4 linked regions of the Caenorhabditis elegans genome follow. The protein of the gene in region 4 interacts with the protein of the main gene of each other region in a biochemical or structural test. Each region holds a gene or a part of one and is shown on either strand. Other genes may lie near its edges. The genes, in order: dmsr-7, dmsr-8, dmsr-1 and flp-12.

The links.
Region 1: the proteins of flp-12 (region 4) and dmsr-7 interact in a test that uses a peptide from one of them, tested with the Caenorhabditis elegans proteins (one large-scale study listed by BioGRID).
Region 2: the proteins of flp-12 (region 4) and dmsr-8 interact in a test that uses a peptide from one of them, tested with the Caenorhabditis elegans proteins (one large-scale study listed by BioGRID).
Region 3: the proteins of flp-12 (region 4) and dmsr-1 interact in a test that uses a peptide from one of them, tested with the Caenorhabditis elegans proteins (one large-scale study listed by BioGRID).

What each region holds. Positions count from the first base shown.
Region 1 is NC_003283.11:5,402,932-5,409,210, forward strand, and holds dmsr-7 (G-protein coupled receptors family 1 profile domain-containing protein), read left to right. Parts: upstream 1-2,421; 5' UTR 2,422-2,438; coding exon 2,439-2,524; intron 2,525-2,591; coding exon 2,592-2,804; intron 2,805-3,659; coding exon 3,660-3,803; intron 3,804-3,999; coding exon 4,000-4,258; intron 4,259-4,306; coding exon 4,307-4,437; intron 4,438-4,485; coding exon 4,486-4,611; intron 4,612-4,822; coding exon 4,823-4,963; intron 4,964-5,027; coding exon 5,028-5,102; intron 5,103-5,152; coding exon 5,153-5,267; 3' UTR 5,268-5,455; downstream 5,456-6,279. Other genes in the region: C25A6.1 (Serine/threonine-protein phosphatase), read left to right, coding at 5,597-5,920.
Region 2 is NC_003283.11:10,509,117-10,516,305, forward strand, and holds dmsr-8 (G-protein coupled receptors family 1 profile domain-containing protein), read right to left. Parts: upstream 5,256-7,189; 5' UTR 5,146-5,255; intron 4,893-5,145; coding exon 4,769-4,892; intron 4,102-4,768; coding exon 3,945-4,101; intron 3,563-3,944; coding exon 3,466-3,562; intron 3,419-3,465; coding exon 3,269-3,418; intron 3,102-3,268; coding exon 2,991-3,101; intron 2,948-2,990; coding exon 2,535-2,947; intron 2,483-2,534; coding exon 2,304-2,482; intron 1,848-2,303; coding exon 1,738-1,847; intron 1,691-1,737; coding exon 1,568-1,690; 3' UTR 1,336-1,567; downstream 1-1,335. Other genes in the region: C35A5.6 (uncharacterized protein), read left to right, coding at 21-119, 167-300, 350-501, 959-1,132, 1,175-1,335.
Region 3 is NC_003283.11:11,435,956-11,442,391, reverse strand, and holds dmsr-1 (G-protein coupled receptor dmsr-1), read right to left. Parts: upstream 3,623-6,436; 5' UTR 3,575-3,622; coding exon 3,504-3,574; intron 3,225-3,503; coding exon 2,908-3,224; intron 2,857-2,907; coding exon 2,597-2,856; intron 2,302-2,596; coding exon 1,834-2,301; intron 1,453-1,833; coding exon 1,267-1,452; intron 1,206-1,266; coding exon 975-1,205; 3' UTR 828-974; downstream 1-827. Other genes in the region: F57B7.2 (SCP domain-containing protein), read left to right, coding at 3-256. UniProt on the Caenorhabditis elegans protein: G-protein coupled receptor.
Region 4 is NC_003284.9:4,590,102-4,594,930, forward strand, and holds flp-12 (FMRF-Like Peptide), read right to left. Parts: upstream 2,304-4,829; 5' UTR 2,227-2,303; coding exon 2,163-2,226; exon of another isoform or gene 1,579-2,162; coding exon 1,508-1,578; intron 1,451-1,507; coding exon 1,328-1,450; 3' UTR 1,180-1,327; downstream 1-1,179. Other genes in the region: lnp-1 (Endoplasmic reticulum junction formation protein lunapark), read left to right, coding at 1-89.

The sequences.
Region 1 (6,279 bases), on a different chromosome or scaffold from region 4:
TTAACGCTAAAAAACCTGGAAAGTTTAGGTATTTTCGTGGCTGACGGAATACAAAGAAAAACAAAATATGCCAAGGTTAAACTTTTAAGTTTAATTTTCAAAATATAGTTAAGTTTGAACACTCCTGAAATTCCAGCAATCGTCAGTTTCGGCGATTTCGGAATATGAAGAATTCTAGTGACACATTTGAACAAATGTTTTTGAACACTAGAGAAATTATTGGCAGGGCTTGTCCAATTTGCTTACCTGCCTGCCCAATATAAGTTTCTTGGCATTTCACTGTAAAAGCGGTGTTTCATTGGGTTCAGGGTAGGCATAGGTCGCCTTGAAGGCAGGCATTTTACCTTTTTAATGTAAAATTTTTCGGAGAAACTTTCTCTTGATCTTTATAGCATGAGTGTGCTTTTGAAATTTTTTGAAATTTTTGCAATTTCAATTTCTTTCAATTTCCCGAAAAATCCAAGCTAAATCTAAAAGTTTGAAAAACAAGCAATCTGTGAAAAACACATCTGGAACTTTATTCAATAATCTTTCTTTTTCTTCACCCCAATTGTTTTTTGTTTCGTTCTAGGCCTGTTTGTATCTTTGTATGATAGCAAAAGTCAGAGCCACTGTAACTAAATAATGTGCTCAAACTGAAAAAAAACGGAGGCATTCCAAGCAGCCGCCTGAATCATTCTATCCGGGAGTCTGCACAGCCATCTGAAAGATTAGTCTAGAATTGAGCATTAGGAAACTTGTGGAGGAGCCAGAAGGAACCAAGAAAGGCTCCTCTTCATTGCCCAAAGTTTTGTTGTGATTTGTGCATCCCAATTCTCTCCTCTCACTATTCCTACCCCTCCTTCTAGTCCTTCTTTTTTTTTCCTCCTTTTTGCTCGTCACTTTGAAAATAATGCAGTCTCGTCACTGCTTTTCAAGCACTAGAAGCTGCTTGAACTGCAAATTGAATTTGAGGAGAAGCTTCGCCATTTTGTTTCGAGTAAAAAAGACAATGAACACGTTACGTGCGCAATCCACCATTGGTAGCGCCTCTCCTTCCTCCAGTTTTTGCCCCTTTTCAGCTTTTTTCCTGCATTTTTCTCATTTCTCCCCCAATTAGGCTCTCTGCATTTTAAGGTGTTAGAGAATTAGCTAGGTCACTCTTTTGATTTCTTGAAACAAAGATGAAATGTTCAGTGGTCAATAGTCAATAGGCACATCACTTCAATTCCCAAGGGACTTGAGCTTTCTTTCTTCCCCTTTTGACTGCGCCTGCGCCCCTAAACTTTTTTTTTCCACGTTTTCCTTATTCATAAGTCGTGAGAATATTCGATTTTCCGATTCATCTTCTCTGGAAGATGAATTCATTAACTTTGAATGCCACATTTCTGTCTCGAAATCCATTCTGTTTCAAATGTTTCGGTGTGTGTGAAGCAGCACCACACAACAAACATTTTCACAAGATGGCCCCCTGATTTTATATGTTTTATGGTGGCATGAAATACCAAAGTTTAAAACTTTTATACTTAACTAATAAGTTTCTGTTCTAGGTAGGACTAACATGGTAGGCAGGCGCATAAAATTTGAAAGCAATAAATTTGAATTTCGATTAATTTGATGAAAAGCAGGTGGACCTAACTTTGAAGTCCGGCAGGTAGGCAGTCGTTTGGCGCCTACCTAGAAGCCCTAGATCTAGGTTACATGTTCACAAGAAACAGAAAGTTGAGCGAAAGATTAAACATTCACGAACGAGTGTGCTTCACAATTATAATCATCGCAATTATAAAACTGCTGAAAAATATGCTTACTATGTTTTAAAAGACTAGTCTTGCCAAGATAAGTTGGCAGGCATGCCTACATGCCTACCAATTATTTTGTGCATTTTCAAGATCTGCTGAAATCGAAAAAAATTATTTTAAAATGTTTTAAACCCAAATAATAAATATTTTGATAAATATGGCTCTCTTTTACGGTTTCGAGTGTCATTTTTTTTTAAACATGCAAAATTTACAAAAGAATTTACGCGTTTTTTGCAATTTTTCGCTCACTTTGTTTTCGAAAACAAACAAATCTACCGCCCTGGCCGGCAAAAAAATAGGTTTTTTGGTTTTTTTTACTCTAGGAAATAGTTTTTAAAAAATAAAAATCTTCAATCAAAGATTTTTACAATTTTTCAAAGTATTTTCCTGCTATAGAAATAACAACTCACGGAACAAAAATAACTTCCGGCCAGTGACCTATAATTTTGTAAATTTTTTGAAAAACGAAATTATATATTTTGTTCGAAAACTCGATCAGCTTCTTCCACAACAACCGACTGTCATCTAAAAGTTCAAAAAACACAGAACGCATTCCACCCTGTTGCTCTTGGCTTCTTCTGATTTTCTCCTTATGTTTCTTTGTTTCAATGGTCTTTAAAAACCCCTTAAATTTTCAACATTTTGAAGGATGTGCTAGATATGGAATGTCCGCACGATGCTCAGTTGTTTGATCCGAACAGTAACAGTACGCAGGCATTTCTTCGGAAACTTGCACATTTTCAAAGGTTTGTTAAACTATTTTTTGTGCACTTCTTTCAAAAAAAGAAAAATGAACCAATGATTAATTGTCAGATGGTACCAGCCAATTCACGGATATGTATGTGTGCTCATCTGCGTTTTTGGTATCTTCACCAATTTTGTGCATGTGGCAGTTTTATCGAGACCCAACATGCGCAATTCGGCCGTCAACTGCATACTGACAGCAGTGGCTGTCTGTGATATCGGAACAATGGCATCCTATCTCATTTATATTATACATTTTGTCTTACGACGAAATAATTCCTGGTAATTCTTGTGTGTTTATTGGGTGGAAATGTTTTTGTTTTGGGAAATGGAGCGGCGTGGCGGCTTTTGAGTAGGAACATCAACAAATATGGAATTTTTGGAAAAATAACACAAGCTTTAAAATATTTATTTTCTGGTTTTTCCTATTCCAATTTTATGGTGAATTGCAAAACCCGGAAAATGTCGGTCACTTCATAAAAAGGATGTAGAGTTCGAAGGCGCTGATTGGTTTAAAAATAGTCATGGCTTCTCATTTTGGAAAAATTCAAATATGAAAATTCGCAATTTCAAAAATTGGACATTTTTAAATCTTTCTCGATTTTTTAAGTTTCCTTTTTTTTTGATTATGCAGCATATATTTGAATATTTCGAATACTTTGAAACAAAATCCTTATTTTCCAAACTCTACCTCAAACCATTAATAACAAGAATTCAAACTAAGTGTGCTCTTTCTATTGAAAATTTTGAAGGATATTTATATTCTTCTATTTTTCCACTCAAGTATCAACACACACACACAAAAAAACATCCTCAAAGTAATAATGGAATTTCAAAAGTTGAATGCCCATGTTCGTCACTTGCTGCACTTAATTGAAGAGGCATAGAATTTTAGTTGAACCTGGAACTATTTATTTCCTCCTATCCGTTTTATGTGCATCAAAACATGAAAACAACTGCATATTTTATTGATCATAGGAAATTTTGAAAATCGTCACAAAGCTACAAACTACGTGTATTCATAAATAACAAAAGTGAATTCAAGATGAAAAGTCGCTCGTAAAATGATACTGAAAAACACGAAAACAAGCGTTTGCAATGAAACTCAATAATTTTTATTATTAGATTTTATTACAGCACTCCAACGTTCACTCATTCTTGGTTACAATTCCTATTGTGGCATGTTGTTTTGAGCATCACACTACACACAACTTCTTTATGGCTCGCTGTGGCGATGGCGTTCATTCGGAGGATGACATTAAGGGTTACCGCTTTGAATAGGTATGCTGGGAGCAAAGTTTAAGGGACTAACATTTTTTTATACACTAAGATGAACAAGTTTTGTAATGAAAGTTTTCAAAATTTTTTTCAAACAATGGTAGGTATCCAAAAATATTTAAAATTGAAATTTTACAAAGACATTGCAAGCAATATACCCAGAAACGTTGGCCCCCTTAAAAAATCTGGAAATTTTCAGTCAATGGCAACGACCAAAGTTCGCATGGAAGTTGTGCCTGGGAATCTATATGGTCGTATTTGTACTTTGTATTCCAAATATGCTGGTCCACGAAATCGCCCGTGTAGAAGGAAATGACTGGCGACCTGGCAAAACGTGTCAAAAATTTGCATCGAACTACTCTGAACCGGTGTACACTTTTATGGTCAGCCACGCGGCGACTATCAACAATTGCCGGTTGTTTAAATGGAATATTTGGATGATTGGAATTCTGTTCAAGGTTAGCGAGTACGCGAGTTATCAAATTAAACGTCCTACCAGTTTTCAGATCATTCCATGTATTCTGCTAATTTTCTTGTCTTTCGGCCTTGTATCAAAGATTAGAGACGCAGAAAAGCATCGGAGGAAACTAACGAGTGTTCCGTCAAATGCATCAACAGATTCAAAACCATTGAAAAAGTATAGTCAACTCTCAAAGAACTTTTATGACAAAATGGAAATTTTCAGAAAGAATGGAACATCAGATAGAACCACATTGATGCTTGTTGTTATTTTATTGGTATTTTTAATAACGGAGTTTCCACAAGGAATCATCTCGATTCTTTGCGCAATTTTTACTACAGACGTTCATAGGTAAGATTTGATGTTTAACTAGAAATTTGGCCTGGAAAAACTGAAATCGAACTGCCCCAAGCTTGACCCAATTTTTCTTGAGTCATTTGAATTTTTGGAAATTTGGGTGCAGGCTGAGTCTTGCAAAAGTGTTGCTAAATTTTTGTTGGCCCAATTAAAGCTAAAATTGGGCGCTAAAGAAGTTTTCGAAAAATTAAATTTTCCATTTCAGATACCTCTATTTCTACATTGGTGATGTTCTTGATCTCCTATCGCTTGTCAATTCCTCTGTAAATTTTGTTTTATATTGTGTGATGTCTTCAAGATACCGGCAGACGTTTTGGGAAGTTATCATTCCTTCGTGGGCTTGTGGGTAAGTTCATTCTTATTGAACCAGTTCCTGTTACAGTAGTCTAAAATAAAATTTTTCCTCTCAGATTGTGGACGACCCGTCGTGGTTCTCCGACGGAACTTTCACAGCTTCAGTTGAACAACAGCTTACGACTAGGAAGGTCAGTTAATTTGTTTTTGAAGTCTGGAAAATATTATCTTTAATTTGCAGAAAACAAAGCTATACGCCACTGGCAACTGAACCGGAACCAGCACGCAATGAGTATTGGCGGTATGAAGCTTCCGTGTCGGACAATCAGAACAGCAGTAGAGAACATCAACTTTAAATTCCAATTTTTTCGATCTCGGTACAAATTCCCTTTGCAGATTTTTTGTGATATCTTGCTCATTTTCATAGCTTTCGCATTTTCTATTCTATTCTTGTTACGGGTACTTTTTGTTTTTTATTAATTCAGTTTTTATATAAATCAATATGGTTTACAAAATTATTAAATTATTCACGGCGCCGTGAAAAAAAAATTGTTTACAAAAAGACACGTAGATGTGAGTAAAACTAGGAAAAAAAATTATTTTCAATTGAAAGTGATTTCCGAAAGGTGAGTTCTCTTTTTCTCTTCCAGGAATCAAAAGTTAAAAAGGTTTGATGTTTTAGATTATGAAAGACGACGTCGTTGACAACATAATAATTGATGTCCTGAGCGCTAGTACTCACGAAAAGCTACTTTCCGAAGTGATCACGGAAGGACGAGTTCTAAAGCTTCTCGATTTGGCACTGGATGTATTTAAAAGACAGAAATCAATGGTTGAAATGAATGCTCCGATAAAGGTGTGCGGTGACATCCATGGACAATTCCCGGATCTTCTTCGTCTCTTCCATCGTGGTGGATGGCCGCCGACTGCGAATTATTTATTCCTTGGTGACTATGTGGACCGTGGAAGATTTAGCATTGAAACCATTGTTCTTCTTCTCGCTTATAAGGTTTGTTGCTTTAAGTTTTGCAAAAAGAAGCTAGGATCAAAAATTGTGACGCGCCAGAATTAATCATTGACACAAAGAATGCCAAAACAGGGGATTTTTGCAGAGACCGCTTAGATTTTCCAAAATAAGCGTACACATGTGATAAATAAATGTGTTTTCAAAAAGAAACATATTTATTGTCCATCACATATTGCTCTGCAAAAAAGTGCGCATCTCTCAAGTATCAAAGTGACAGAAAGTTGATGCTGCTCCGATGAGCTGTCAAATTTGAAAAATGACGTCAACTGGAGTGATGGATCTTTTGGACGTTTATTTCTCTCTCCCGATCTTCCAAATCCCATGGCGTGAACTTCTTTGAA
Region 2 (7,189 bases), on a different chromosome or scaffold from region 4:
TTCGATCTTTCAATTTAATAATGCCGCTTTTACATCGAACAATCATTTTTCTTCAACTTCTCGGTACAATTTCATCAAATTACAATGCATTTTTCGCTATCATGGTCACAAATCCAACAGTAAGATTGCATCGTTGTGAGATAAAAAGAAATACAAATATTTTCAGGTGGTCCAACAAGTGAATCAAATCGAAGTAAATCTGACACAGAGCAATCCTCAATTTGTAAAATTTGTGCATAACATTTCCCATCTTCATATCAAACTAAACACAGTTGAACTCAATGAAACCAGATTACCAATGTTAGTTTTTTTAGATTTGAGAGAACAAATAATTTTTTTTCAATTTCAGAGTTCAAAAGTTTTTGAAAGAATTACCAAAAGCAATGTGTAATGTATCATATTCAATTCCGGCATTGTTTGAAGGAACTGCTGTAATGGCAAATACTACCCTTTATGGAAAAGTTAATCCAATGTCTAGCAGTGTTATTTCTTCTGTTCATCGTGAGTTTTTTGTTGTTGCAAAATTTTATTGATTGAATCTTTTTCTGTGATTTGGAAACAAACAATATCTCTTTTCCTGCAAGCACAAAAATGTTCAGAAAAAAATCAAATGATCATTGCGTCTGTTGAGCACATGAACATCGGGTCAATGCGTGTTGTTCATTTTAAAAAAATCCTGAGAAATCAAACATTTGAAAAAAGCCATAAATATACAAGCTATAAATAGTACTTTTTCAATTTCTCCAGTCTCCAGAATACACTTAGTTTTTGTTTTTATGAAAAACTAAATTATGAAAAAGTGTGATTTTAGTTGATCCATGAAACTTTTCGATTTTTTAAAGTTTTAAAGTTTTTATCATTTTCGGATTCACTATTTTTCATGATAAGTTTGAAGTCAATTTCAATTATCAGAACAGCTATCGAAATTAGCTAACCACTCTGTACATTTTTTTTTCAGAAAAAATATTCTCTCTACTTAATAACACTGAAATTCCGTCTGTTGATGTGCATGACATTTTCCATCCGCGAATGAATATTGTAGAACTTGACAATCGAAAACATGAGGACCTTCTACAAATTATGTCAAACCGGACAGGAGATTTCAAGTTGAATACGGGAGATTTTATTAAAGGTTTGGTTTGAATTCACGCTAAAACATTGAATCTTTATTCAGAAATAGTCTTGTTCAATTCAACAGAATCAGGGTCCTTTCATGAGGAAATTGGACGAGCCGTATTGGCACCTTGCTCGAATTTCACTCTTCTCAGATTCAAAAAACCCGAATTAATTTCGAATCGAGTTCCAATTTTTCCACTTGAAATGGACTTTAAATAAAGATTTATTGTAATAAATACAGAAAAAAAGGAGACAATCTATCGATATGTAGAGATAAAGTACCAGTAAATATGTAATAATATGACATTAACGGTGTGTTTATGAAACAATACAATGTGAATTCTGAGTTAAAGATCATGTCGCAAACCTAGTTTCAGAAAGTCTGAAACTATAACGTTATGTTTCCAGATCAGCAGAATTCAAGAACTTTTTTTTAAGTCATGGCAAAAATTTAATAAAGAGCAGTACTTGTTTCACATTGCATTAATTTAATTCTTCTGTGTGGACTATTGGAAAGCTCATCTGTAGAACGGAAAAATCTGAGAATTTTTTGAACAATGCTTAGGGAGTCTTGCTGAAAATGTGTTTGTTTAATTTTTTTTTTGAAACCTAATTAACTACCTGCATATTTGGTACCACAAGTTGGAAATCGACGACGCTACTGATCTGCGATTCTTTACGAACGATATCAAAGGAAACACGAGGAGATGTAGAGTATCCGCCGTTGATGTCTGAAATGAAAACATCAAAGTTTGCTTAGAAAAACAAACAAGCAAGTTTGAGAAGTCACAAGAAAGTTAGGAATGTATATGTGCAGAAAGAGAGTATCATGTCAGTTTCAAATTAGCTTGGGTCAAAGGTATAAAAGTTAGAGATGTATCAGAATCAGTTTGAGAGAAGTCAAGCAAGAAGGTTCACCTTTTCAACTAACTTAGGCAGAATCCTCTGAAATTTGATATTAAGATACTTGTTTTTTGAAGAATCCAAGATAGTTGTGTAGTTTTAAAATTATGTAGGTTTCTATTTTAAAAATTGGAAACAATTTCTGTTAAAACCAAATTTAAACTTCTTTGTTTCAAACAGGGGCGAACGTTTCTGTATTGCCGAAAATTGTCGATTGCCGCACACTCCTGGTTTTAATAATACGCAACTATCTTGGAATACTTATTGCAAAACAATATACTTACCAGCTGTAAGCAGATTTCCAGAATACATTCTGGGTGGATCAGGTCTAGAAATAGGTAAAAGAACGGAGGACGCTGAAACTCGGTGTGACGTTAATGCCAATTGTTCACTTTTTGTCATATCAGCAGTAGGTCTCATGCGAGATACTTCAACGTCCAGGAATGCTTCCATTGCGTATTTTCTGCAACTTATATTTCAAATTCATTATACGAACCCACAACTTTATCTCCAACCGTATAATTTTTTGTGGCAAGCATGTAAGGAATATCTGGATAAATACGGCTCGGAACTTCCGACTCATTGCACAATAAATGATGAAGTTAACGGCAGAATTGAGCAACGAGAGGACATCCATCACATCTCCGAGATGAATGTATATTTTATCGTAGAATGTTTCTTTTGTGAAAATTGCATTGAAGACGTGAAGTACTCCTTGTGGAAGTTCAGCAAATAAAAATATTGAAAGAACGGCGACAAGCATTGGTGTAGTATGATCTCGTGGCATTCTTTTCTTATTCATCACTTGAGCTAATTGTTTCCTTCGTTTTCCAACGTCACGAATAATACTGACAAGTGCAACTATAGAAAATGTTAGAAGAAGACAAGGAACAACTTTGAAAAGTACTCCATTTGTCCAGAATGCAATCTAAAGAACATAAAAAGTTAGCAGAAACAAGATATTTACTCACATTAAGTAGTCCGCAATGATCAGATGGAGCAACCAAATAAACGAGCATATCGTCTTCAGCTGTCTCGTTTGCTTTGCATTGAAGCCAAAGAGATGCTGGCGTTTCAATTATCTAAAATTTAAGTATTTCAGCTAATAGCTAATTTGATTTTAGCTATTAAATTGTTTTTTTTTTCAAGGTTATGTTCAAACCGAAACGGGATAATAACAATAATTAATTAATTTTTCAAGTTTTGGTCATTTCAATTCTTGATATTCTAGAATAAAAAGTGTGATTACCTCAAATGTCAGCATATTTGGAACATTTAACAAACAAACTACAATAAATGTTGTAACAGCAATAATACAAGTCATTTGATTAGTTACAGATTCTCCAGCTACAGATGTTGCTCGCCGGATAGAAAACACTCGAATTTGGGCTAGTAGAACCTGGTTTTGATAATATAAGTTTTTGAATTTTAATCGTGAAAACTTACTGTTAACCAAATACTTGTTGCATGGAAAATAACCGTGGCTTGGGAATGATAGTATAAAAAATATGCCCAATAAATGTTGTAGTCTGTTGGATCGCATCTGGAAATATTCAGGTATATATTTTTTCAAATTGAATTGAAAACATCAAAATCTATTTGGATGCTTTTTCATGATAACTCATTCTCAAAGTTCTTTCATTCCCATATCCAATGGACACTATTTGAGTCACAAATCACAATAAATCAGAAAAAAATTCAAAATTAAATGCAAAAAGAACACGATTCTACAAATTCAACCAATAAGTCTACAAAAGAGGATTCCTTTAATTAGGAATTAATGACAAAATATACCAATTGCATCGTGTTGAACTGCTGCGTTGATGTTAGTTTATACCTCTGATTATTTAGAAAACACAGAAAATGTTAGAGATCACAGAAAATCAGTCAACAGAAAGAAACTCGTGCATGCAAAACCGACAAACCTGTACCCCGCAAATAGTAGAAAATGAGTAACAAAAACCAGGACACTGGTCATAACAAGAATGTCGCAAAGAGCAATTGCACAAAGAAGTGAATTGACGGCTGATCTCATTGATGGACGAGTTAGAACAATCACTGTTACTATGTTCATTGCAGTACCTACAAAATTCACTTGTGGCATTAGTTGAACATTTTTGTTGTCGTAATAATTTTAAAGCAGTTTTTGGTAGATGTCAGTGCTGTGCTTCAACGCTCTCTTAATGCGCAAATTGTATTATTTTTTATTTTTTGGGAAATCACGAAATCACTTGAAAACAACGCGTACGCAGCAAATCAACTAAACCTGCCGATTTATAAACATTTCGGGGTTTTATTTTTTAATTATTTTTTTTCCACTGTAGATACTCAAAAAATGAAATAAATCTTCTCGCGAATTTTCCGTTTTGTTTTTTCGTATATTTGTTTTTTCCTAAATTTTTTAACTTTGCAAAAAATGTCAAGCAAACTGTCAAGCCATATACAAAACAACCAATGTAGTTTTAAATTCTTTAAAAAATCACCCATATATATATCATATTTTAGGATCAGACCTTATTTAATTATTTTTGTCAAGTGTTCATTATTTATTTCAGTCTTTTTGCACGTGCTCAATAAATCTCACACGCTCTGCGCACTTTCAAATCAGATTTTATTTCTTGCTTTTCACTCTTTCTGTTGCTTTTTCGTCATCAACAAACACCTTTTTCTGCTTCCCCCTGCATGTTATTTTCAGTAAATTACCATCTGAAAAAGGATCAACATGTGCGATCACTTCATAATAACCAACCTGCAAGACAGAGAATCACAGAGACGTACGGATGAATATGAGCATACGCTGTATTTATATTTGTCACTGCTGTCTCAAGCCACTCGGCACCCGTGAAATTCACCGAACCCATGTCACATCCCATCTAAAAATGGATTATGAGCTTATGAATTTAAAATGAAAGTACTCTAATATTCCAGAGATTTTTAGAGAAGGATCTATCAAACTAGTGTGAATTTACAATGAGGATGTCTACAAGTACTGCATTTTACAATATTTCAAAAAAATTAATTAAAACTGTTTTTGAACAAATATCAATGAATAAAAGTGCTGAAGATTTTCTTCCATCAAAAAATATATCATGAAAATTTTAGTACACTTCTATTTAAACAACTTACTTTTGTGAGAAGTGTCCTCCTAGTCCGGAGGTATATTAATAAAAAATATTGTAATTATTTTGTTCCACTTAGGTTTTGAGATATCATTTCACACTCCGTCTATTTTTTCCCTGAAAATTACAAAATAAAATGCAAAAAATATAAATAAAACTGCGCAAAAAAAGAATGGAACAAAAATTTAGGCTATTCAGATTGGGAATATATTCAGAAAACTTGAAAAGAATAAAATGACGATGTGAAAACGATGAGTAAGAGGAATAACAAAATGTGGGAGATTGATAAGTGGCTTGATTTCAAGAAACGGAAAAAAATATACTGCTCTCGATGATTGGGTTGATTTTGAAAAGAATTCCTTAAAAACGATTAGAAAAAACGGGATTTTCGTCATTCAATATAAATTATAAAAATGTATCACTTAAACTTTTTGAAACGGTCCAGAAATGGAAGTTGGTTTCCCCCATACTTCAAAAAGAGACACGAAACATTGTCTGATTTTTCTGAAGAAAAAACCATGAAGTTACCCGATGCTCTGAAAATTATTAAGTCTGCAAAATTCCGCTTTGGACTTATTTAACGGTTTTAGTTTCAAAAACACAGTTTTAGATTTTGATAAAAAAAAATGTTACTTGTAGAACAAATTACGGTAGAAAATGTCAAAACTCCTGGCAAATTCAAGGAATGGAGAGGAATAAACAGGGAATAAAATCAAACTACCTTACAGAGAAAATTGAAAAACTCGAAAACATTCATCTCAAAATCGACTTAAACTTTAATCTAGTTTTCGAAGAAGGCGAACGCTTTTCTCACGTAAAAATACCTTTTCTTATCGAATTCCCACGAAAAAATAAGAAATTCATTCGAAGAAAATGTGGACCGAAAAGGAAGGACACATGAAAGACTTTTACAGAGAGCGTGTCGATGAATAATTTTAGTCTGTTCAGTCAGTATTTTAAAAGAAATCTTCCAAGTAAAAATCAGAAAAGGATTTTGATTTTTAGTCTACAAAGAAATGTTATCGTTTCCTAAGATCTGATTGACGAGCAAGTGATTAAAACGAAATAGAAGATCGGAAAAAAGAGGAAAAGGAGAAAAGGGTGTCTGACATTGAGAGTTTCATTTAAACGAACATTTCGATGATGAAACTAAGTGAAAGTGAGCAGCCGTTTTTTGAAATTACTAGTGGAATGCCGAAAACTGGGAAAGATGAGCCATCTGAGTCCGTAATTTGAATTAAATCGGGCGAAAGTTTATGCGATGAGCCACGAACCACCAAAACAAATTGTCAATGTGTGAACAGAGTTGTCATTGGCAGATCTCTTTCTCTTTGTCTCCCTCATTATAATGTCAACTTAGAAACGAATATGGCCATAATAACAACTCTAATGATGGGGATAATTATAAAATGGGTACGAATTTGAGTAGAATCTAATAAGAAGGAGGCGGTGAAGAAAGAAGAACACATGCTTCTTCTGTCTTTTTTTCTCAATAAGATGATAGGTAAACACTGTTGATTGATTGTCGTTGTATTTGAAAGAGGATATCAATGTCCGGTGATTTGATGAACCAGACGGGTGGTGGAACAATGAAAAGATGGGGGTGGTGGGAAATGAATTGCCTGGGAACTTTGAGTTGTTGATTTCATTAAGTCTGGGAATGTGTTAGGTTGGATGTTCCTGTGATGCTTGATCAAAATATTATGTCAAAGAGAGCAAAGCAATGATCACAAAAAGATTACGTTTCATGTCACTTGTCACAGTTATGACAAGCTCAGAGTTCAAATAAGGTACGCAAGTATGTTTTTGTGACAATCGGCAATTTGAGGATTTTTAATTTCCATTTTGCATTGACGAAGTTAATTGTATTGCATGGCAATATATGAAATGAACTGTTGGTGTGTTTTTTTTTCCATATATGAGAAAGCATTTGCATTCATGAGACTACCTGAACACGGTTTTTTCAATTTTTGTAATTTATAAGAGGTTTATAATAACAGTAACAAATAATTTAAATTGAGGATACGATAACCATTTCATTTGCCCAACTT
Region 3 (6,436 bases), on a different chromosome or scaffold from region 4:
AGAATGTCAACGATTTTCACAAGTTGTTTGGAAAGATACAACAGAACTTGGCGCTGCACGGTATTGGAACACAGCAAATAATTGTGTAGCTGTTGTCTGCTTTTATCGTCCAGCGGGAAATTCAAATGCACCCGGAGAATTTGCTTCAAATGTTCCATCCAGAGATTGTTCAATGTCACCAATTCGAAACTTGGGAACTCAACTAAAACGCCACGTCACGATCTCAACACCAGAAAGAGCTGTTGTTTCCAAGTAGCTACTAGTTTATTTTTTTCAATTTGTGTAGCCAGAAACCGAAAAAGAACATTCCGAAACGGGTTGTGCGTTTTCTTCTACTTTTCTCCCCCACTTGATGCTTTCATTATAGTCAGCTTTTCTGTTTTTTTCTCTTTCATTTCGGCACCCGGTAACTTTGTCGGTTAATTGATCTCTAGCTATTACTTTCCATTGACAAATAAAAGATTGCTATGCCGAAACATTTTTACAAGTTGGAAGATTATCCTTTTTAAGTAAGTGTTTTAATTACACGGTGACATACGACTGTCATGTTTGCCATCAATATTTTTGTGATGGCATGATAAAAAATTCATTTAAACCAGAAAAATGCTTATGAAAATCAATCTATGTCTACCTACTATGGGAGCTAGTTTGAAGTTCTCCGAGGATACAATATTCCCAATTCTGCAATTTTCATTCATAAAAGGTTGTCATATACATAAATCAATAACCTCAATATGCAAATTGAAAGAATTTTAATTTCTGAACAATTACTTTATTTTTTTTTTCAATTCTGAAAAGTTTAAAGATTTAAAAAAAAAGTATGTTACTAATAAAAAACAAGATTCATTAATAGGACACGCTTAAGAAGAAATCAACGTAATCAGAAAATTGAAATAGAAACCCGTGAATATGGTAAATACTAATGGTTTTGTTCTGACACGTGTTGCAATTTGTGTGTTTAAAAAATTCTGATATCAAATGTTTTGAAAGTGTCCACGAATTCCATCAGCACTGGCTGTTGAGTTGGGTCCTGAGCTGTTAAGTAGATGTGATGTCTCATCAGTGGATTCATCTTCTCCACTTCGAATCGGTGGAAGTGGGGATGATGGAAATGATGTTGGCATTGGAGAACATGGAGTAATTGAATCACATCCAGTCATTCTCGTTATTTCCGTACTGTTTCTTCGTACCTGGATTCCGACCATCTGAAAATTAACATGGCTTATTCAAAAGTTTTGTAGAAAAAACATGTGTTGATATTCTTACTTTAACACTTGCTGACCTTGTATCTTCCGAATAAGTGCCATTTCCATTCATTCCATTTCCGTTTTTCTCGTTTGGTTTTAGAAAAGTCATTTTTGTGGTACTGTAGGCGTCGGATGGACGACGAATCGACGGCGATGACATTCGGAGACATCTCACCTTTGCAGGTACAAAGACACGGTGGAATTCCTAAAAATTTTATGATTTTTCTATATTGAAAATGAACCAATTTTTATTTATAGAAATCAAATGAAAATGCTTGTTCCCTGTGTTAAAATGAACTAAACACACATTCATAAAATGAGCAAAGTATGTACTTCCATGATTTTTCTTGTAAAAACAACTCCGCAATTGTCGGAAAATGTAGAGATCTTAAGCGCATTTTAAGACGCTGCCGAACATCATGTTAGTAAGAAAACAAAGAAAAAAAAGACAAATTCGCTTGGAAAGTTCCACCGAATGTTGAGAAAGTTTGTAGTATTTTCTAACAGCATACAACACATTTTTCATTGAGGTATTTTGAAAAGATGTCGCTCATTGAAATTTTTTTCAAGTAATATCAAAACTTACATTTCTGAACTGTCCACTCATTGAGCAGTAAATGATGAATGAACAACATGAACCGCAAAGTGAGAACAAATCGAGAATGTCTCCCAGATTGTTATAAATGTAAATTCGGAATTCTTCAGAACACATTCCAGACAAGACAGCCATAATTCCTTGAGGTAATTCAGTCACTAGCATAACTGCTACAATTGCCAATAACATATGAGTTGTCCGATCGACACGTTCTCCTCTCCCCCGTAAGCTTCCATTTCTGCCTAATTTCTCGTTGCCTGCAACTGAAATGCTCAGTCTTTGTCCGTTTCGAGTAGTCGTTTGATTCGGTGGTCGATGTTGCGAGTTCTTGAGAAGACGTTGACGATTCTCACGCACTTCACGAAGAATTCGTAAAAGGAGCCAAACAAACAACGATAGAAGCGCACATGGTAATACTTTGAATACCATACCGGATATCCAATAAGATAACCGGAAGACCTGCAGGAAATTAGGAAATTGGTTTTTGCTAGGGTGACGATCACGATGATAAATATTATTTTGTATAATTTTCATGATATCATATGTACATATGATCGATCAATTATTTCCAAAAAGGTTTATATAAATCCAAAGCTTCAAAGTTATATTATGATGATCTTGCCAAAATTTTTAGTTTATAAATCTAAGTTCCAATAAAAAAGTTTTTCGAGAAATTTTGTTTGTATACAATTTGTCAAACATTATTTTTTAACAAAAATCTTGTTTTTTTTTTACTGAAATTCAAAAATCTTACCAGACAGCTGTTTGCTTTTGCAATGTCTGCAATTCCAGGAAGATACGCGGGCGAATTCCAGAACATTGGATCCAAATCGGTACACGTTTCATTCAATGGCTGTTCATTGATTTTGTAATTCAGAAAATTCGGTGCATTAAGCACTGCTACAAGGGATACAGTAACAGCAACGGCATAATAAGAATGCCTTAACGTCACTTGCATACCACCCATATTTCCCCTACTTCGAAGTGTTACATATCGAACAAGTGCAAGCATAACTGCAATAAAATCGAAGAGTTGGACAGTTGTCTTCAGAATGAAAAGCTTACCTGACAACCAAACACTTGAAGAATGTGCAACTAATGAAAGATGAGCATGAGCAATTAAAAATAACGCCCAAGAGTAGGACCAATGTTTCGGATGACAAAACTTGAAAGCGACAAATGAGTAATGTGTTGTGTATATTAAATTTGAAAATAACACAACTGTATCACAAGATGCCATTGCTGTCAAAATCATATTAACTGGCGTTCGCATTGTTCGTCTCGTTAGTACGACGATGTTACAGAAATTAGCGATTGTACCCAACACGCATAGAAATATTGATAAGTAGGCATGTATAGGATGGTAGAAATTATATACACTTCTGAAAAAAAAACGTTTAATTTCACTTTTTTCCACTTTTGCTCTTGAAATATTTATTAATGGCTCTCTTTTTTATGGTCATCACTTTTGAGGACACAATAATTTAAGATAAGATAACCTTCTTCAATAACTTGGTTTTATTCGCTATTTTTAGGGATGATTTCTACAAATAATAGGATAACTTTTAATGATGATAAACTGTACTTTTTGAAAATACGTCAAATACAACAGTACTGGGCAATTATTTGAAAGATTTTTGAGACACAAAAGTAAAACTTACACAAAAACATCGTATAAAAAACTTTTATCGGGCAGATGAATAAATGTAGTTTTGCATTCGGTAAACTCCATTTTGTTTGCTGTTCCTCTGTTCTATTGTTTCTGATTCTATTTGAACATCTGAAAAAAAACAACAATTTATTAATATTGAAACGTTGAAAATGAGGAAAACAAGCGTTCAAATGAAAAACGGCTCCGATTCGGAAAACCGGAAAACGTCATTAGAAATGAGAGATGACTATGAAAAAAATGACAAAAGGGACAAAGATTTGGCAACACATTGCTCATTCACTTTTTAAAACAAAAACACTCAAATAATAGGGTGAGTGTGTTTTTTTGGAACAAAAAAACTAACAAAAATATACTGCAAGCTTTTGCTCAAAAATCTAAGATAAACACCAATTATTGCCAATTAGGGAGATCTTGCAGATAAAACTTCCTTAAAGAAATCATTATTCAGAAATTGAAGGAGTTGCAAAATCAGAAAATATAAAAATAAAAATAGCACAGGAAGTTTAATGATTTTTTTACTGGGAAAATTAAGAGTACAATTGAAAAAAGAGAGCCAAAAAGTTTTGAATGAACTTCAGAAGGAATAATTTGCATAAACTGAACAAGATTAATACATTCAAAAGTACACAAATTTTCGGAAAAATTGATATGCACTATACCAAATTCATATTCACATTCGTTTTTTGATTAATTTTTTTGCCGCTACACAATTTCGGCAATTGAGCATGTATTCGATTACAAAGAAAATGTCACAAATTCCAGGCACTTGGAAAAATAAATTGATAATTATTTCTTTTTCTATCACTTGGAAGAAGAGTTGTTTTTAAATGCCCGCTATTTCAGAGAGACATCACGTCATTAAAAACCATAAACGTTACGCATTTTGAAAAATAGAAAATTCAAAAACCTAAATGGATATCTCAACAGCTTTTTGTCACTATTTCACTGTCTCTTCACTTCAAAACACACACATATATATATATATATATATATATATATATATATATATATATGTGCAATATCCGTATCTACTTCCAACCGCTATTCGATCACTAAAAGAAACTCAAAACAAGCCTCGCTTCCTAGTCCTTCCGTTCGCCGCCATGATGGGCCCAGTATCTAAGCATGGGCGGAATTTGTTGCTTTTTTACTCAAAAAAAAGAACCTTTTTTATGTTGAGCACGGACAGATAAACGCAGAGCGGGGTGCAACGCATCTCTCCCCGACAAAAAATAACATCAGAATATAACCAAATTTCGGTCAGCGCTCGGAAGTGTGTGAGGCGGCCTAGCGCGCTCCAACTCTAATTACAGAGCGGATAAGGTTTGGATAGATATTTCCAAAGTTAGTCATGTGTTGATCCGTGACCACATGTCAGGTGAGCACCCATTTCCGGAGTCACTTCAGGAAAAAAACTCATTGAGCTGACTCTCGTGCCAGAGGAATTTTTCGCACTTATCATTAAAGAAAACGACAAAAGTTTATGCTGAAAATGAAAATATTTGCCGGAATTCGGTTTGAAGTTACGATAAAAAAGTAAAAGGTACAAGATCAAACTCCACTGGCAAACATATCCCAAGTATTGAAAATTTTAAGCATAATTACTTTTGAGTTAGGGGAAGGAAAATGATGGAAGTCCGGTTAGGTCGGATTTTCCTATATTGCTTGTTAAATCATTTTTGTGTATTAAATTGTATTGAAAAATAGCTGAAAAATAAGGATTATTATAACTTCTCTTATTTTACTTTTTAAAATTATTTTTTGTGACGTCGAACTTTAAAATGCAACGCCAAAAGTTTCCACAATGCAATCAAATCCTTTATACTTAAAACATCAAAATCCAACAACATGTAAACATATTTACAGAACAGAAAATTCTAAAAATATTACAAACTTGTAAACAAGTTGATAGTTGAGAAGACCTATCAAGAAGTATGATACGAGTGAGAGTACAAAAAGTACCCACAAGAAGTATCAAACTCGGAGAAAAAGATGGAAGGTACGGGGCCAAATAAAAAAACCGACGGATGTTGAGACCGAGAAAAATGCAAATTCTGAAGCTAACCGAATTTGTGACAGTGGATGGGCTCTTTGCCTAACTTAAACGAAACTTCATGTGACCTTACGAATGACGCAACTATTTCTGCACATAAAAAGGTGACAGAAGAAGAAGCCGTAGGATAAACTGACCAAACTTAGAGAGATGAGGACAATGAAATTCTTTTCTTTTTGCATTCCATATTTTCCCCGTCTTCTCATTTTCATATTTCTTTATAAATTCAGTCGCCCGTCCAATTGAATTCATTCAATTCGAGGAGGAGGAGGATGAGAGGAAGAAGAAATGGAATGCAGTGTTATTGCTACCTCGCTAGCCGCCGGATGCTCAGCTCCTCTACTCCCAAGATTGGGGGAATGGATCTTGAAATTCCATTGCCGTTTGTATAGCCGTAGGTTTTGAATATTAAAAATATTATATTATGAAAGGATCGGGGGTGGAGCAGAGATAGAAACAGCTTTGCTGCTTTTTCTTCTTCTTTCATTTGCAAAAGCCTGTTTCTGCTTTTCATTCACTTCGTAAAAAAGTTTAGCAACGCTGAGGGAGGGCTTTGGATTTGAATTTGTGAATTTGTCAACCCAAGCGGAAATTGGAATGAACTTTTCGGTTCTTCAAAAAAAAAACTAAAGAAAGTGAAAAGTTTGGATAGAATAAGGCGGAGCAAAACGTCGAAGAAGACGAGCCTGAAAGTAGCAAAATTGGCCAAATTTGACTCGAGTTGAAAGCTCCTGCTTCTGTTTCTTGGCGCAAGAGCTTCTCCCCCGCTTCAGCATATCCTATATTCAAAGACGATGAAAGTTTTATTTTTTGCTTCTCCTTCTTCTTCTTCTTCATGTTTTCTTTGAATTAGAGACGTCAGATTGTAA
Region 4 (4,829 bases):
CTGCCAGTCAAAATGGATCTGAAAAAGGATCAGACTCGGAAAATGAGAAGGTCCCGGAGTCCAAGACAATGGAAACTGAATTCCATTAAAAGCCAATCATACAACTTGTAGACTAAACATGTTCCGGGTTTCTTTTTTGTTATTATTCAAATTTTCCACTCGTCTCCAAAAAACGCGTTTCTTAAATTATTCGTTAACTCATTTTTTCAAAGCAAAATAGTTGTTTTTGCAGCCTCCGTTCTCTGGTATCTGTACTATTGTTGTGAAGATCATTCGAAATTTCTGTTCGACCTTGCCAAATACTTTAACATTTTTGTTTTGATCTAATGAACTTTGCGGGCTCTTATTCAGAAATTCAAATTGAACAATGTTGGAAGAAAGAGTGAACAAGGAAAAACAATGGAACATCTTCACGGATTTTAATCAATGCTAAAAACCAGCAAACAATTTTTCTAAGTTCCATTTCGATCTCGTTCTCGTTTCTGATTATGCATCGCATGGGAACCTGAAAACAAAATAAAATGCTTTATTGCAGTTTACGAGAAATTTTTCAGAAGCAATTAGACATTCAAAACAAAGTGTAAAAATTGAAATTACAAATAGAAATTTAACTTTTTACATTTTTCGTAACTTTTTTGTGCTTCCAAGTAGAATTGAAATTGGGAAGGTTGAAAATCTAATACAGTTGATTAAACTTTTGTACTGTATATAAAAATTCAGATTTCAAAACTTTGGCTAATTTTTAAGCCAACTATTTGAACTGTCTAATTGCGTAGTTAAGTAGCGATGTGTGAAGTTCTCGGTGAGCACGGTATGTTGTTGTTGTTGGTTTTTAGAAAGAAATTTCAAACTACTAAAATATTCTAAAAATTATATTATCATTTAATTTTTTTAAAATCTGGTTATCAAATCAAAACGCAATTTTCGGTTGTATTTTAACGAGTTTAACGAGTAAAACTACAATCTTAAGATTGTTCAAAAGAATGACAAATTTCCTAACAACTTAAGTTAGACAGGATTCTTCCAGCTTTTATAAATATCAGCCTAAATTTGGCTTTATAAACTCAAATTGTATTATTTCATATTTCCAAGTCAAAATTTAACAGGCTTTATAAATTTCCAATTTTCTTCCAATTTTTTAAAAGGAAAATTGCAATAAACACGGGATAAACAAGGAAAAACAATTCAAGTTTTATTTTCATCGGCTGCTATCACAATTCATTACGAAATTGACATAGAGAGTGAGAACATTTGAGAGATTCAGAGATTCAGAAGGTTAAATAGATCCTTTTCAAGGTTGGAAACAATGCTCGGCTCAAATGATGCTCTACTTTCGTCCAAATCGAATGAACTCGAACTTGTTGCGTCGTTTTTCGGCCATCTTGAGCTGCTGGTTGCCCTCCTGAAGTGCTTCCAACTCTGATAGAGCATTCAGCAGCTGAGCACTAATCTGAAAACAATTGAGAAATGATCGAGTTGCTCTCGGTGCGGTAAGCAGTAACAGTACCTTGTTTACGCTTTCGTGGCTCAGTTCCCCATCGTACATGGCTGCCGGGAGTACTTCAGGCGATCCTTTGACTAAAAACAATACATTAAAGATAATATCAATGTGTCTAGTCGGGTTTTCTTGCTGGGCCCCATAAGACGAGTTCCTAAAATGCAATGGGCCAAGAATATTTTCTTCCGTTTCTGTTTCTCGATTTGCTACTTGTTATTCAGAATCTCACTTTTATCTAGTTTTTTTTTTGCTTTATTTTCAGAAAGATTTTTGTCCAGAAGAGTCCCTAATTTCCAGCTAGGCCACACTGCGCTTTGTGTTATTTGCACAACAGGAAGAGGAATTTTTCTTGGTGTAATTATGCATGTTGGATGAGAAATAGTTGGGACTAATGGGATTAATGAGTCGGTGACTCGACGCTAGGACATTCCAATTTTTTGCGCCTAATTTTTGAGACATATTTTGGAAGTGAATTGCATTACTAGATTGTGTATTGAGGATTTATGTACATGTTTGGTTTTGACAGGATTCACCCACTCGGAGACTCCTTGTCAAATTGTAATTCTTAGCACGACGACACCAATTCGTTTTAACAATACATGGAGAGCTATGTCTAGTGTTACATTTTGAAAGCTATTTCTGAAACAAGGAACTAGTGGCTTACCTTTCTGTGTAGCACATGTTGCAATAAGGCAGAACAAAAGGGCGATGATGACTTGAACATTCATGTTTACTGAAAGTTCAGCTTGTGTGGCGCAAATATTATGCCGATCTGAATCTGGCGAGCTTATGTGCCGACCAAGTGGGCGTGGCCTAATGATGGTCCTCCCCTTTTGGGAGGAGAAATTATGGTGGATGAAGTTGAGCTCTCAATGTCACCAAGACAGCAAAAAAATAGAAGGAGTGGAAAAGAAAAAATGAAATCATGTGTCTTTTCGGGAGAAGATTGATGGTAGACAATAGTTGGAAAATTGGGCAATCCGTCCTCTCACCACACAACTCGTCATCGCTTTCCGCCGGCAGTGCTTCTTCTCCTCCATACTGATTGTGAAGGATAGAGGAATCCCGGATGAAGGCGGCGAAAAAGTGATGCTGGTGTGACACGCACAAAAGGCGCAAATTGGAAGGCAAAAGGCGCGACCGTGGGGGTCCAGAAATATTGTGCACAATATAACAATGCAAGACACTTTTGAGATTCCGTACAAAACATTATTGAAAGAATGTCTAAATTGGAGTGCAATCTCCGGAAGCATGACAAATTTACAGAGTCGAAACGGAACTATTTTGAGAAGCCTATCCCTCTCTATATAGTGCAACCACCAATTGCATCTATTCACAGATTTTGAAATCGCTGTTGCTGTTTTATACAAGAAAACAGCAAAGTACACAAGAAAACCTACCCATAAATGTGTAAAATACTATTTCGATGACTTGTCAAATTAATTTGAAACAAAATTCTTATTCTATGTACACTCTTCCAAAATTAACTTATGTCCAGGACGCCCACTGTGTGTATTTCTTTGAATTCATAAGTCATAGAGATGAAGTACTCCCCAAAGCATCTTGATTAAAAACAAGATCGTTTCAATGGCACAATAAGAATCAAAGTTTAACTACTGGTTTTTGAAACTTTAAAGCCATCCAGAATTATCTCAGGCTTCTATTTTGATCTCTGCAATAATTATGTTTTCCAATTCCAGGAAGGCAATTCTAGAAGTATACCAAAATTTTTGAGTTTCAGTATTTTTCAATTTGAAACCAAATAGTAATATTATCAACAAACATACTAATATTATCAACTCCAAACTAGGTGTCATGTAACTCGATTATCTCATTATTTTTCTCCAAAATATTTTCATATGCTGATTCATCAAACATCATCACGTAAATAAAACACACATTTGCAACCATTTAGCATTAACCGTAATCCCCCTATCGTATATAAGGCTTAAAAGGGCCGCCAGGCTGGAAGACTGCATGATCAAAAGATTTTCTAAGGAGCCATCTGAAGATACCACCGGACTTTTGAGCAAGATATGCAAGCGTGGCGTTGTGAATTTTTAGCTTCAAAATATTAGAGCTGGTCTCACGGTGAGCATTAAAAGATTTTCCAAATAATACTGGTAACAGTTTCAAAAAGAATATATGCTCCTATTGTAAATTTACTTCAACTCGAAATTACTTTTTTTGTTCATAATCAATTTTAATGTCTTCACATTAATAAACGTCTGGCTTTTTACCAGTTTGAACACTTTTGAATTTATCAGATTTGGAAAAGCTTTAAAGTTCGAAAAAACTGCTCCAAAACTTTTCCTCGTTCAGGAAACTCGTATAAGTTTCCGTTCTGTTTTAAGACAAGTTCAAAACCAATGAACTTTTTTCAGAAGGGCTTGAAGAAAAAAGGAAGAGGAAGTGGAACCATTTACTCAAGTTTCAGTATGTGGATTGGTCAAATATCAAATGTTGGCTCAAGTGGGGTGACTTAAGTGTTTATTGGAACGATTTTATCAGTCGTACATTCCATTACACTGAAATCAATAGTATAAAATGGAAAAGTGAGCATTTGGGTGAATATTGTCTACAATCAAAAAAATTATACAGTGAAACAATCCCCTTCCAGAAAAAAACCAAAAATATTCCTTGTTTCTCTTCCCAGCTAGTTCAGAGCAATCATCGTAATGAAGTGAATTTGATTCTAATCTTCAAAAATTTTAGCACTCTGAAATGAGTAATCCGGTTTAATTGGCCTGATCCACACTCTCGGCATTGATAATTCCGACATTTAATCAAGAATGTCTTTGTCGCATGATACTTTTATTTTTGATGTAATTGTAATTGATAAACACATTTTGTTACTATGTCAATCTAATTCCCGTTTTTTAAAAATTTCCGTCAAAAATACTTTTGTTGTTAAAGACTTTCAGTGTTATCCATAATTTATGATTGCTCTGAAATCTTCCATACGTGCAAGCAAAACGAATTAGCGTTTTTCGTAGTGATTTTGAAAAGTTGTAACGTTTAACCGCTGAGTAGCACATGTCGAGTTGAGTTAACTTTTTTTGTAGAACTAACGTCATTTTGAAACATTGAAAATGAAATCAACTGTTTTTGAAGGATACTTTTGTATTTTGAATGTTTGAGTTACATAGTTTTTTTCAATACTATTTCCCATACCCATCACACATTTCACACTTCAGCGTAGAATCGTACTGCCCTTTTGTACAGAAGAAAAAGTACGAGGGTGGTTTTCGATTTTGTTGAAAAACGTCATTGAAACGAGCCATTGGGGAGTGATGCTTTAGAAAAAAAGTATCATTACGAATGTAGTTCC